2 linked regions of the Astyanax mexicanus genome follow. The protein of the gene in region 1 interacts with the protein of each later gene in a pairwise test. Links are inferred from orthologs where the notes say so. Each region holds a gene or a part of one and is shown on either strand. Other genes may lie near its edges.

What was found.
Region 2: the proteins of zinc fingers and homeoboxes protein 1 (region 1) and zmynd11 interact in a two-hybrid assay, tested with the Homo sapiens proteins (2 studies listed by BioGRID and IntAct). The link is inferred for Astyanax mexicanus from reciprocal best matches to the Homo sapiens genes ZHX1 and ZMYND11.

The regions. Positions count from the first base shown.
Region 1 is NC_064408.1:112,364,133-112,369,549, reverse strand, and holds the start of zinc fingers and homeoboxes protein 1, read left to right. Parts: upstream 1-2,230; 5' UTR 2,231-2,449; intron 2,450-2,473; exon of another isoform or gene 2,474-2,536; 5' UTR 2,537-2,763; exon of another isoform or gene 2,764-3,044; intron 3,045-4,393; 5' UTR 4,394-4,479; coding exon 4,480-4,645; intron 4,646-5,228; coding exon 5,229-5,417. UniProt on the Homo sapiens protein: Acts as a transcriptional repressor. Increases DNMT3B-mediated repressive transcriptional activity when DNMT3B is tethered to DNA. May link molecule between DNMT3B and other co-repressor proteins.
Region 2 is NC_064408.1:101,788,892-101,794,308, reverse strand, and holds the start of zmynd11 (zinc finger MYND domain-containing protein 11), read left to right. Parts: upstream 1-2,632; 5' UTR 2,633-2,752; intron 2,753-3,160; coding exon of another isoform or gene 3,161-3,214; exon of another isoform or gene 3,215-3,551; intron 3,552-5,417. Other genes in the region: vipr2 (vasoactive intestinal polypeptide receptor 2), read right to left, coding at 3,161-3,214. UniProt on the Homo sapiens protein: Chromatin reader that specifically recognizes and binds histone H3.3 trimethylated at 'Lys-36' (H3.3K36me3) and regulates RNA polymerase II elongation. Does not bind other histone H3 subtypes (H3.1 or H3.2).

The DNA.
Region 1 (5,417 bases):
TAATATGAGCATATTAATATCTGAGTGTTGTACATTTTTGTGTTCCTGTCCTTCTATTAAAGCCTTTGACAGAATTATTTTTTTCTCCCTGCCTTTTTTCTCTGTTCAGTCTCCCGTCACAAAGGATTTAAGAAAATATTGATATCGTATTGTGTAATTTTGCATGGTAATACTGTATTGAATTAAAAAACACAATATAAAATTTTAATTAATGAATTGTTGACATGTTAAGATTGCTGACAGACAGTAGGTTCATGTTGTGTTGTAACATTAACTCTGGTATCTTTTAAGCACATCAGTGGTTCTGCAAAAAGGGTATGTTCCTTCCAAATATCCTCAAATTTAAAAGAGAAACTAACATGCTTTTCAATTGTATAAACAACCAAACAAGAGTTTACTTACTTTTTGTAATACTTTTGTTTGTATTGCGGTGTTTACAGTATCAGTACAAGTTCTTGCCAATACACAGCAGCGGAGTCCTGCTCATCACTTTCTGCTGTTTCTCCTCAGTGTAGGAGGGAGACATGCCGGTTGTAAGGCACAGAATCAGTCATACTGAGAGTGTTTAAAGCTGTTTGGAGCTGTTTAAGCGGACTGTTGCTCTGTGTGGGTGGGGGAAATCAAATCAAAGTGAGGGAGTGGAGCGTTAAAAGCACAAGAAGTGTTAAAACATGAGCAGCAGCATCAGCTTGTTATTGAGGGGAATTGTCTGCTGGCTATGATGGAAATGTGTTTTGATAATTCTAACCTATTTGGTCAACGCACATACCATGTTGAACATCTTTGTTTTTTGAAGTTCCTATGTTGCCACTCTTCAGAGAAGATGCAAAGAGGAGAAAAACTTATAATTGGTCACCTTAACCTTTTCTAATAATTGGATTCACCTGTGTATGTGGGTCAAGGGTCAATAAGCTTACCAAACAAATTTTGTGTTCCAATAATTAGTGCTAAATGTATTCAGATCAATAACATGACAAGGGTGCCACATTTATTCACCTGCCTAATTTTGTTTAAAGAATTATTGCACATGTTCTGTAAATCCTATAAACATTATTTAACTTCTCAAATATCAGTGTTCGTCTGCTAAATGATATATTTAACTGAAATTGCTGATCAGAACAACCAATGATTTATAAAGAAAATTAAAAATGATCAGGGGAGCTCACTTTTTCATACCACTCTAAATACACAATGGTGTGAAAAAGTATTTGCCCCCTACAGATTTCTTTTGTTTCTGCTTTTTTTGTTATGCTGATAATTTTCAGATTATCAAACAAACTTTAATATTAGACAGAGATAAATAGTAAATATAAACAACACTTTTTAAATGATAATTTCATTTATAAAAGGAGAAAAATATTCAAACCAATCTAGCACTGTGTGAAAAAGTGTTTGCCCTCTAAACCTAATAACCTACCTGTGCCACACTTGGAGGCAACAACAAAAATCAGGTTTTATCAATAACTACGAATGAGCCTTTCACATTTCTGTGGAGGAATTTTGTTCCACTCTTCTTTACAGAATTGTTTTTGTTCCACTCTTCACAAGGGTTTTTGAGCATGAACATCCTGTTTAAGATCTTGCCACAGCATCCCAATCAGACTTTGACTAGGCCATTCCAAAACCTTAAAATAAAATATATCTATAATTTGCTTTACTCACCTGATGTTTTGCAATTTCCTTTTTCATTTGTAAACAGCAGTTTCCAATCTGCTAAAGTAGTAAAAAGATTTTTTTATGACCCTTTGAACTTGGCATTCAAAAAATAGTTAAAGGAGAATAAATAGCCTGTTTTGTATATTTCGAGTTGCCCTAACTTCAGATTATCAAGTAGTCTTTTGAAGCTGACACCACATTATGAAAATAGAACTGTTAGACTGTGAATAGCCTAAAACAGGAAATATAACAGTATTATTTATTTTTATTATTACCCTCTGAACTTGGCATTTGAGAAATTTTGAATGAGAACAGATAGCCTGTTCTGCAGATTTCCAGTAGCTCTAACTCCAGATAATAAACTAGTCTGCTAAAGTTGAGCACAGTTGAACGAGGAATATTACTGTATATATTTTTTTTCAATTATGATTCTCAGAACTTGGCATTTGAGAGATTTTGAATGAGAACTAATTGCCTGTTCTGCATATTGCCAGCTGTCCTAACTCCAGATTATGAAACAGTCTGTTAATAAATCTAAATAAGACGCTGGCGAAGGTGTGTAGGATTAGCTAAAAACTCAGTAACATCAGTAAAATGAATCCTGTCTAATGTATTCCAGTGTATTGCTCTCTTTGCTGCTCGTTTGAGATGCGAGAGGCGGCGAGTCACGTGATCACGCCGGGTCTCGCCAAGAGCGCTGGTCGCTACGTTTTTAGGTGAAGATCGGAAGTTTCCAGCAGTTAAACCGCTGGATTGGGAGCTCGGCTGGCGGACTGAGCGGCGGCTCGGACTAGTAGGTGACCTTACGTGGTTTTTGGCTTGGTTTCCGTGCGCGTTTGAGGCTAATAAGCGCTGTTTTTCTCTCAATTTCCCCCCAAAGTTACGGCGGGGAGTCGCCTGGGTATGACGTAAACGCGTAACTGGCTCGCTACACAGTGACAGCGGAGAGACGGCTGATCATCGGAAAAATGGGGGCAAATTCGTTTTAACGCGGATTTTAAGGGGCTTTGAAGGCTCGGACCCGCATCTGTCAGCAGCTTAGAGTTTAGTACAGAGGCTGAGCCCAGCATCTGGACACAGACATCCCGCGTTTTGAGGCGAGAGGAGGTAAAAACGCCGCCCCCCTCCCTCCTTTCCTCTCTTCCTAGCTAGCTAACAACCTCCGCCGCCTCCTTCTTCTCCTCGGTTAGCCAGTCAGCTATGTTAAGCTAGCTGACTAGCTAAATAGCAGCCTCCTGCCCCACATTTAAAGCTCTTACTTCGTTAAAAACACCAACACACAGGTGGCCATCCGACCTGTAGCCCAGCCAACGTGCTCAGTAAGCCCTAAGGGCGGCTAGCGCTCGCTCTGGAGGCTCTCTCCGGCTCCACAGCTGCTGCTGGCCCCGGTAAGTTAACGTAACGTCCAGCCGCTGCAGCACACTCCGCGATCAAAAAGCGAACAACACGTTAGTAACGTCTACATTAAGTTTCTGTAGACGTGTAGGCCTGTCCACACTGCTTATAAGCTCGAAACTACCCGTTACCGTAAAGCAAAACAACCTGTAACATCTTAAAAGCTGAAGTTGACTACTTGTTCGAATTATCCGTTCCACCTTAAATAGCGCAGCTGTCACAGTGAGGGCACCTGAGCCTCAGTGATGCTGTGCTTCTGCACCAGTTAAGGTGGAATTGTGATATTGGATATGTCTGTTTTTATTAAAGCTGCGACTAATTATTTATTTTGGTAGTCGACTAATCTGATGATTTTTTTTCAATTAGTCAACTAATATTTCTGCCATGTCCTCCGTCTCTAAAAATGATAGAAATTGCTGAACATGAGATTTAAAAGTTATTTATCTGAATGTTGTTTAAACATGTAAAGTACTAATGTTTAGTGAGTAAATATGTAATCTGTGTGTTTGGGCACTTTTGGAACCACAGACTAAGTTCTGTCCCCAGCACTTTGTGTAATACGGTACAGTTACAAATTAACCATTAGTCGACAATAATATTTGTAGACACATTGTCAATAATGTTGACTAATCGTTGTATCCCTAGTTTTTAATACACTGCCTGGCCAAAAAAAGTCTCCACCTGGATTTAACTAAGCAAATGATCAGTAGTATCTGCAGCAGTTGGTCAGGTCTGGTTTTAGCAACAGTATGTGCTGAAAGAATGAGGTCAGCTGACTACCTAAATATACTGAATATAGAGCAGGTTATTCCATCATTGAATTTTTCTTCCCTGATTGCACGGGTATATTCCAAGATAACAATTCCAGGATTCATGGGGCTGGAATTGTGAAAGAGTGCTTCAAGGAGAATGAGATCATCATTTTCACACATCCATTTTTACAAAATCCTAACAATGTATGGCACTGTGTTTTCTGTACTAAGAGCTTATCATAAAATTACAAGCATGTATGATCAGATATTTAAAAAACATGCTACATTTAGGCATTGGCATTTCTTGTCAGCAGTGTTGTATCTATCCTCTGATCACACCCATGGCCCATTCCCCAGTCCTGTTTCCATACCCCAGGTTGCCAGGTATGGAGGACAGTAGCAGGCAAGCACACAACATACTGCAGCATAATTGCATAAAGCTTCATGTACATGTACATGTACATTACATGTATGTGTTAAGTAGATCTTAAACCTATTTTAACCATTCACATCAAGTATATTTTGAACAGATTGTTTATTATGTTCCATTATAAACTAACAAACTAATTACCTTTACTTTTTTTTTTCAGTCTAGCATGTGAATGTCTGAAGTGGCCTAAGTGCCAAGAAACTACAGTCTTCAACACCTCTCAAAGCCTCTCTGGTGCCACCAACAATGTCAAGCAGAAGGAAGTCCACCACCCCCTGCATGGTGCTACCCTCAGATGTGGTGGAGCAGGATCCAGACATTGAAACTCTGGCAGGGGAGGAAGGAGCCGAGACTGCTGCAGAAAGCCCTGCAGAAGGAGCGGCAGTTCCTATGGAAACTGAGGGAGGTGAGGGTTGGTATCCTTAATTCAAGCCTCTGTTAGGGTTAGATTTTTGTTTTTATCAATTTTGGCCTTAATTGAGTTGGTACCTTGACATAGTAGACGCTAGTTATGTTTCAAAGTTAGGGAAGGCCCTCAGTAGAACTGTCCTGTAAATACTCATTTTCAGTAGCATGTTGGTTACACACATGGAAATGCTGAACATAAGTTAAGACAAAATAATCTACACCAAACAATGTGATTTATTTTTAAGCAGTGGTGACTGACATAGTCACTGCGAAGGTTCACTGCAAAAGCCATGCCATTTGACATAATACTAGTTCCTGTTCCATGACATTTGGCATTTGAGTGTATGTATGAGACATAATGAAAAATCAGTAATTTCATTATAAATAATATAATATATTTCCTTAAAAGATGTAGGTAACAGTCTACACATCTGTATCTTAAATAGTTTAATGGCACAAGGTATCCAGATTTGATTTGATAGTTCGGGCCTCTCTAAACATCTTGTCATTATATCATTATAAGCTTGCTTATTATTGATGTTCACATGTTAAATGTCATGAAATATTTTACTGTTTTTACTTTCCAGATCATGAGGACAGTGTAAGCCATTCTGCAGGGAAACGCCCCAGTCAAACCACTGTGGAACAGTCAGCCACCGATCTAACCACTGATGCAAGTTTTGCACAGCCTGAGACCGAGGAGAGTGAAGACCCTTCAGTTACTGCGATCTCCTTGAGCAAGACGCCTATCATGAAAAAGAAAAGCAAGCCTGAAT
Region 2 (5,417 bases), about 11 Mb from region 1:
GGTTCACTGGTTACCACAACCAGCGTATTGCCCGTTCTTGTCATTATTGCTGGGTCACTTGGAGATCTTACCAGAATGAAAGCATAATTGCAGGAGAACATTCTCTACTGGTTATTTTTGGGTGAGCAGGGTTAAGTGTTTAGAAGATGATGTTTTTTGTGAACTGCAACATTAAATGCAATGGTTTTATATTGAATCTTAGCAACTCAAATAAGCAACACATGGGTTTCTTTACGGGCTATTTATAGTACTAAAGGGATACCACTGTGATAGAAAGTGTCAATGTTAAATAGTAGTGTAAAATAAACATTTTTTTGGAAACAGTGGGATTAGAAATGTACTTACAAAAACACTAAGAGTACACAGAGGTTTTAATCCTGGAGTAAAGCAGTGATGTAGAGCGCAGAGGTTCAAAAATATTACTAACACACAATTAAACAGAGTTGGTGTTAATCATGGAGTTGGAGAAACTGAGGACATGTCTGCTTTCATAATGTCAACAAGTATTCTTTAAATACTTAATATGGCACTGCATTATTGCCATTAGGCCTATATACACATTAAATGTCTAACTGTTTATGCACACCCCTACTAATAAATGCATTGAGCTACTTTAAGTTGCACCCTTTGCTGACACAGATGAACACACAGAGCTTGTCTAGTGCCTGTAGGGAAGTATTACCAGTAGAATAGTACTCTATTCTATAGCCAGTTCTCAATCCAATGCTTTTGGAATGAGCTGGGAAGTTAAGGAAGAGGTAGGGTGGTGATCAGACAACACCCTGACATTGTAACACCTGATTGCTGACCTCCTGATTGGAGGTCTCCCGTGGACCATAGCAGCAGTTCCTCCAACAAATACATTTGATTTTGGATGAAACAATAAATTGCCCTGTGTCCAAATACTTTTGTGCACATACTGTATCAGGTTTTTCAACAGTGTTCTCTAAGTGACTTTACTTACACCCCCAATTTGTAACATGCAATACAATAGTATGTCATGTTTTAGGCATGTATTCTGAGAAATGTATATCAAAAAGCAGTTAAAATGGCTATTTACGGTTTATGTGTTCAGTAAAATACTAATATTATAATGAAAAAGCTGTGCTTTTACTGTAAGCGTGCTGGTATGTTCCTTTAAACGTTTCCAATCCTGTATCTTTGGCAGCTCAATATCTACAGTCCAATACCTGGCTCATCATTACTTAACTACATTGGATCAGTTGTCCCAGTATAGAACTTATCAAATTCATGTTTTCGTTCATAGAATCATTCAGAGAAATCTGGAAGCAGATCAAGCTTATTTTTATCACTTTTCACTTATTCTTTGTGTCTTTCTAATGATATACGATGTTTGTACAAGCAAAACATACATATCTCCCAGATTAATGACTTTAAGGAAAGAGCTTGGATGCACAGACCTGTATTATTGTATATGCTGTTATGCCTGCTCTGCAGTCTGTGCATGGTGTCATAGACTTAATTTTTTTATAATCTTACACTATATGTGTTGTTTCACCTGCGTCAAAGAAAGACATGCCTAGCCATGCAAACTTCCAGGACACATCCAGACAACAGACAAAAGGCCTTGTCCAACACGTTCTGAAAACCAGTGTGAGCAAAATGGGTTAACCCATTCATATCCAAATAATAAAAATGTTTAGTCTGAAAAGGAAAATGCTGAAGACTTTGTTTTTGCCTAAAAGAAACATCGGATTTTGCAATATTTTGATGTTCTGTAACATATATATATATATATATATATATATATATATATATATATATATATATATATATATATATATATATATATATAGCACCATCACACTTTTTTGTCCAAAATTCACATTTAGATTTTTGTTTATTTAATAAAACTGACAACATTATGCAGCTAGACCACTTTTGTTGGAAATAGTGCTAAAACAGTGGCGGTTATTACTTTAGTTCCAAAAAATAAATAAAATCTGTGCCATAATGGGTTATGCCATTCATCGCCAGACATCAATGATCCAATATGTCCTGATATTAAAAATACAACTTTGTGTAGCCAATGTTGTATTAAAATAAACTACAGTGGGCAGATAATAATAATGATAATAATAATAATAATAATAATAATAATAATAATAATATTTTTCTTTTGTATCCTACTCAATCAAAGAAAATTCAATAATTCACTTTTTCAAGATACAACAAATACACATATTTTCAGATTTGTTCTCAGACAAGAGCGGAAAAAATAATGACCAAATGAAATTTAACATACAACTTAGATAATTTAACGTAATTTAATAGATAATTTAACGTAAATTACAAATATATTACACTTAAAACTTCTGTGCTCACTGTAGACAGTCATATTTGTGATTTATTTTCAATAAAACAGACAGACTAAAGGAGCGGGTATATGTCTGCATTTGGCTAACCTATGTAACTATAATATCTCTAAACTACAGGCGCCCACTGTCGACCGCGTTTTGGTTTTAACCACCCGTATTCCGACAAATCGCGCCTATCTGCTCTGCGATTGGCTAGTCGTGTCAAACCACCTGCGCTTGGATTGGACAAAGTTTTTTCGGCATGGCTTTTTAGCCAATCATAACTGGAATAAGGCGGGAATTGTAGGAATACGGGCGGGGGAGGAAAAGGCGATGTCCAAACACCTGAATCACCGCCTTTTAGACACAGCGGCATTCTTTCGCTCCTTCTCCACCACAACAGCCATGACCCGGTTCCTAGCAGCGCCCCGGGGGTTTGTAGTGGTTTCCTTTATTGTGTTTAAAAGGTAGTTAATTTGGTTGTGGTTACAGAGCTAGACTACTAGCTAGTGAAAGTACTCACAGTGTAGACAGCAGAAGGAAACGGGGGCACAGCTGAGAGAAAGTGCCGAGGAGACGGTGGATAGATATTTACAGGCTAACGGCACAAACTCAAATTTACACAATTGACTTTTTTGAAAATTAACGGCTGCAGTTTATTTAGCGTTAGCATTAAATTTAGGTTTAAAATGCGAGAAATACGCGCTTATACGACTAAAAACTAACTTCACTCCACTCCCTCCTGTAAAATATACGTGAAAGGTTGCTAAAAAGCTTGTTAAAACAATTTTAAACATAACAAATATCGAAATATTTGTAGTAATTAACGTATTTTAGCTTACCGAGCACGAGAGCCAAACTATGAAGAGAAGAAGGTAGCAGTGAAGGCGATGCATGTCTTAACGTTAGTTCTCCTCAGCAGCTCCTGGTCGACCCACATCAACTACTTCAGTAGGTTAACTCGTTAAATTCTCAGTAAATCCCAACGTGTGTATCAAAAAACCCAGTCATTTTAAATGACACACAATAAGCCCATAAAGTATCCGTTAAAAGAGAACAGCGTTCCCAGGAGTGACCCCTCGATGTTGGTATGACGAGCTTGGCTGTCAACTGAGTGAGAGAAAGAGAGAGAGAGAGAGGACAGCTGATTCAGTGAAGGGCTCCTCTAAGCTGCTCCTCCTTTCGTTAGGTTGTTTAGCAATGCTGAGAGCTTATAACTTGTTCTCTCAGCAAATACAGTAACCAGCAGCAGCCTACCCAGCTGAATTATACTGGAAATTACACTTTATCCATCAAATGTAATGTTAATATCTCATATTTGTTTAAATAATGCCTTAAACAGTATATAAAATGGGTTGTATCAAGAAAGTCCACTACAAATACAATTTTATTACTAAACAAAATCAAGCACAAGCTATTTGCACCCAGGTGTATGCAGCAGTCTGTACTAATTACATACAGATCTAAGTAACAGTGTGTGTAGCAGTATTAAAAGTCTTTATAAGGAAAGTCAATGTAAAAATAATTTGTTTCAAATTTAGTAATGTCTTTTGATCCATTTATTATGACATTTTGGCACAATTTCAAGACCAACTGCCATATTCAAATGACGTAAAAATGAAAAATTGAGATTTTTTTGCTTAATAATGATAATATTGGCAAATTAAATTTTTAAAACTACATATTATTTTCACAATTTAGCAACTAGAATATCTGTCTTTTTCTTACATAAACCCAAATACTAGATTTGTTTGAATACAATTTCAATATCTATGAACTTATTTTCCGGTATGAATTATCTTTATTCTAAAGTTCACAGAATAAAAGAGGATTCGCATTGCTTTACAACCACACTAATGTAAGTCCTGGGCTCTAGGCACTTAGCTATATTTTAACAGCAAATAAAATGTTCCCAGTCATTAGGGTGTACTGCATTGCAAAGTTTTAGGTTTTTAAGGGGTAAATTTAGCCTCCCTGTCATGCAAAAGCTACTTGTACCTGGGAGCAAGCAAATAGTCATGCCCAACAAAATATCATAAAAGAAGAGCACAGCTGCGTTTCTTTTGTAGACAGTTTGACCCAATATTTCAGATTTTGTTTTTTTTATTATAATTGCAATACATTAAAACTATAAAATTTTATAGTTGCGTTTTTTTAACATACATCAACTCATGCATTCATAAAAAAAAGCTGTTTCAGGTGTTATTTTGTCCCATTCTTTCTGCAAACTAGTCTTAAGTGCAAGTGCAATAGTACAAGGTAACATTCTGTGTCAACACTGCAGGCAGGCCAGTCCATTACATGTACCCTCTTCTATCACAGCCATGTCTTCCTGTGCAGTATGTGGTTTTGCATTGTTTTATTGAAAAACACATGGACGGAAATTATGTAATCTTGAAGGCTGCACATGTTGCTCCAAGATCTCAGTGTACTTTAATGCATTCAGGCTGCAACACATATGTGTAGTGACACAACCACATACCATATTTTTTCACTTGTTGCTCTTATCAGTCTGTATGGTACTTTTTCACTTTGGTCTGGAGCTCACAACTTAATTTTCTCACAAAAAAAGATCTGAAATACTGCTTTGTCTGAGCACAATTCATGCTTTCACTGTGATGGTCTGTCGTAGGTACCTCCAAACTCAGAAAGGTCTATGCCACTTCTGGACATGGTGACCATCTCATAAATTTAAAGTGGTCTTTTGTAATGTAAGTCTGTAATGCAGCAGTTGAAAGACGTTTGGCAAAGTACTCCCTTGCTCATATTTTGGCAACTACTGCTGAATAAAGCATGATATACCCTGTTTGAATTCATTAAATCATTAATTAGTTTGTGTATGTCAGGATTACTGGCCCATAATTGCTCCTTTCCCAACTTATTTGAAATATTTATACTCAATATGGAGAAATAGATGTATATTAATAAATAAAATGAAATTGATCAGACAAAATATGAAATATATTGCATTCATACTGTCTGAAAATAAATGAAAATCACAATAAAATATTGTGTTCAAAATATTAGCTGTTTTAGTTGCATTTGCCGTTCTGTAATGTACTTTTTTAGGTTTGGAGTTATAAATGATGAAACAGAAAA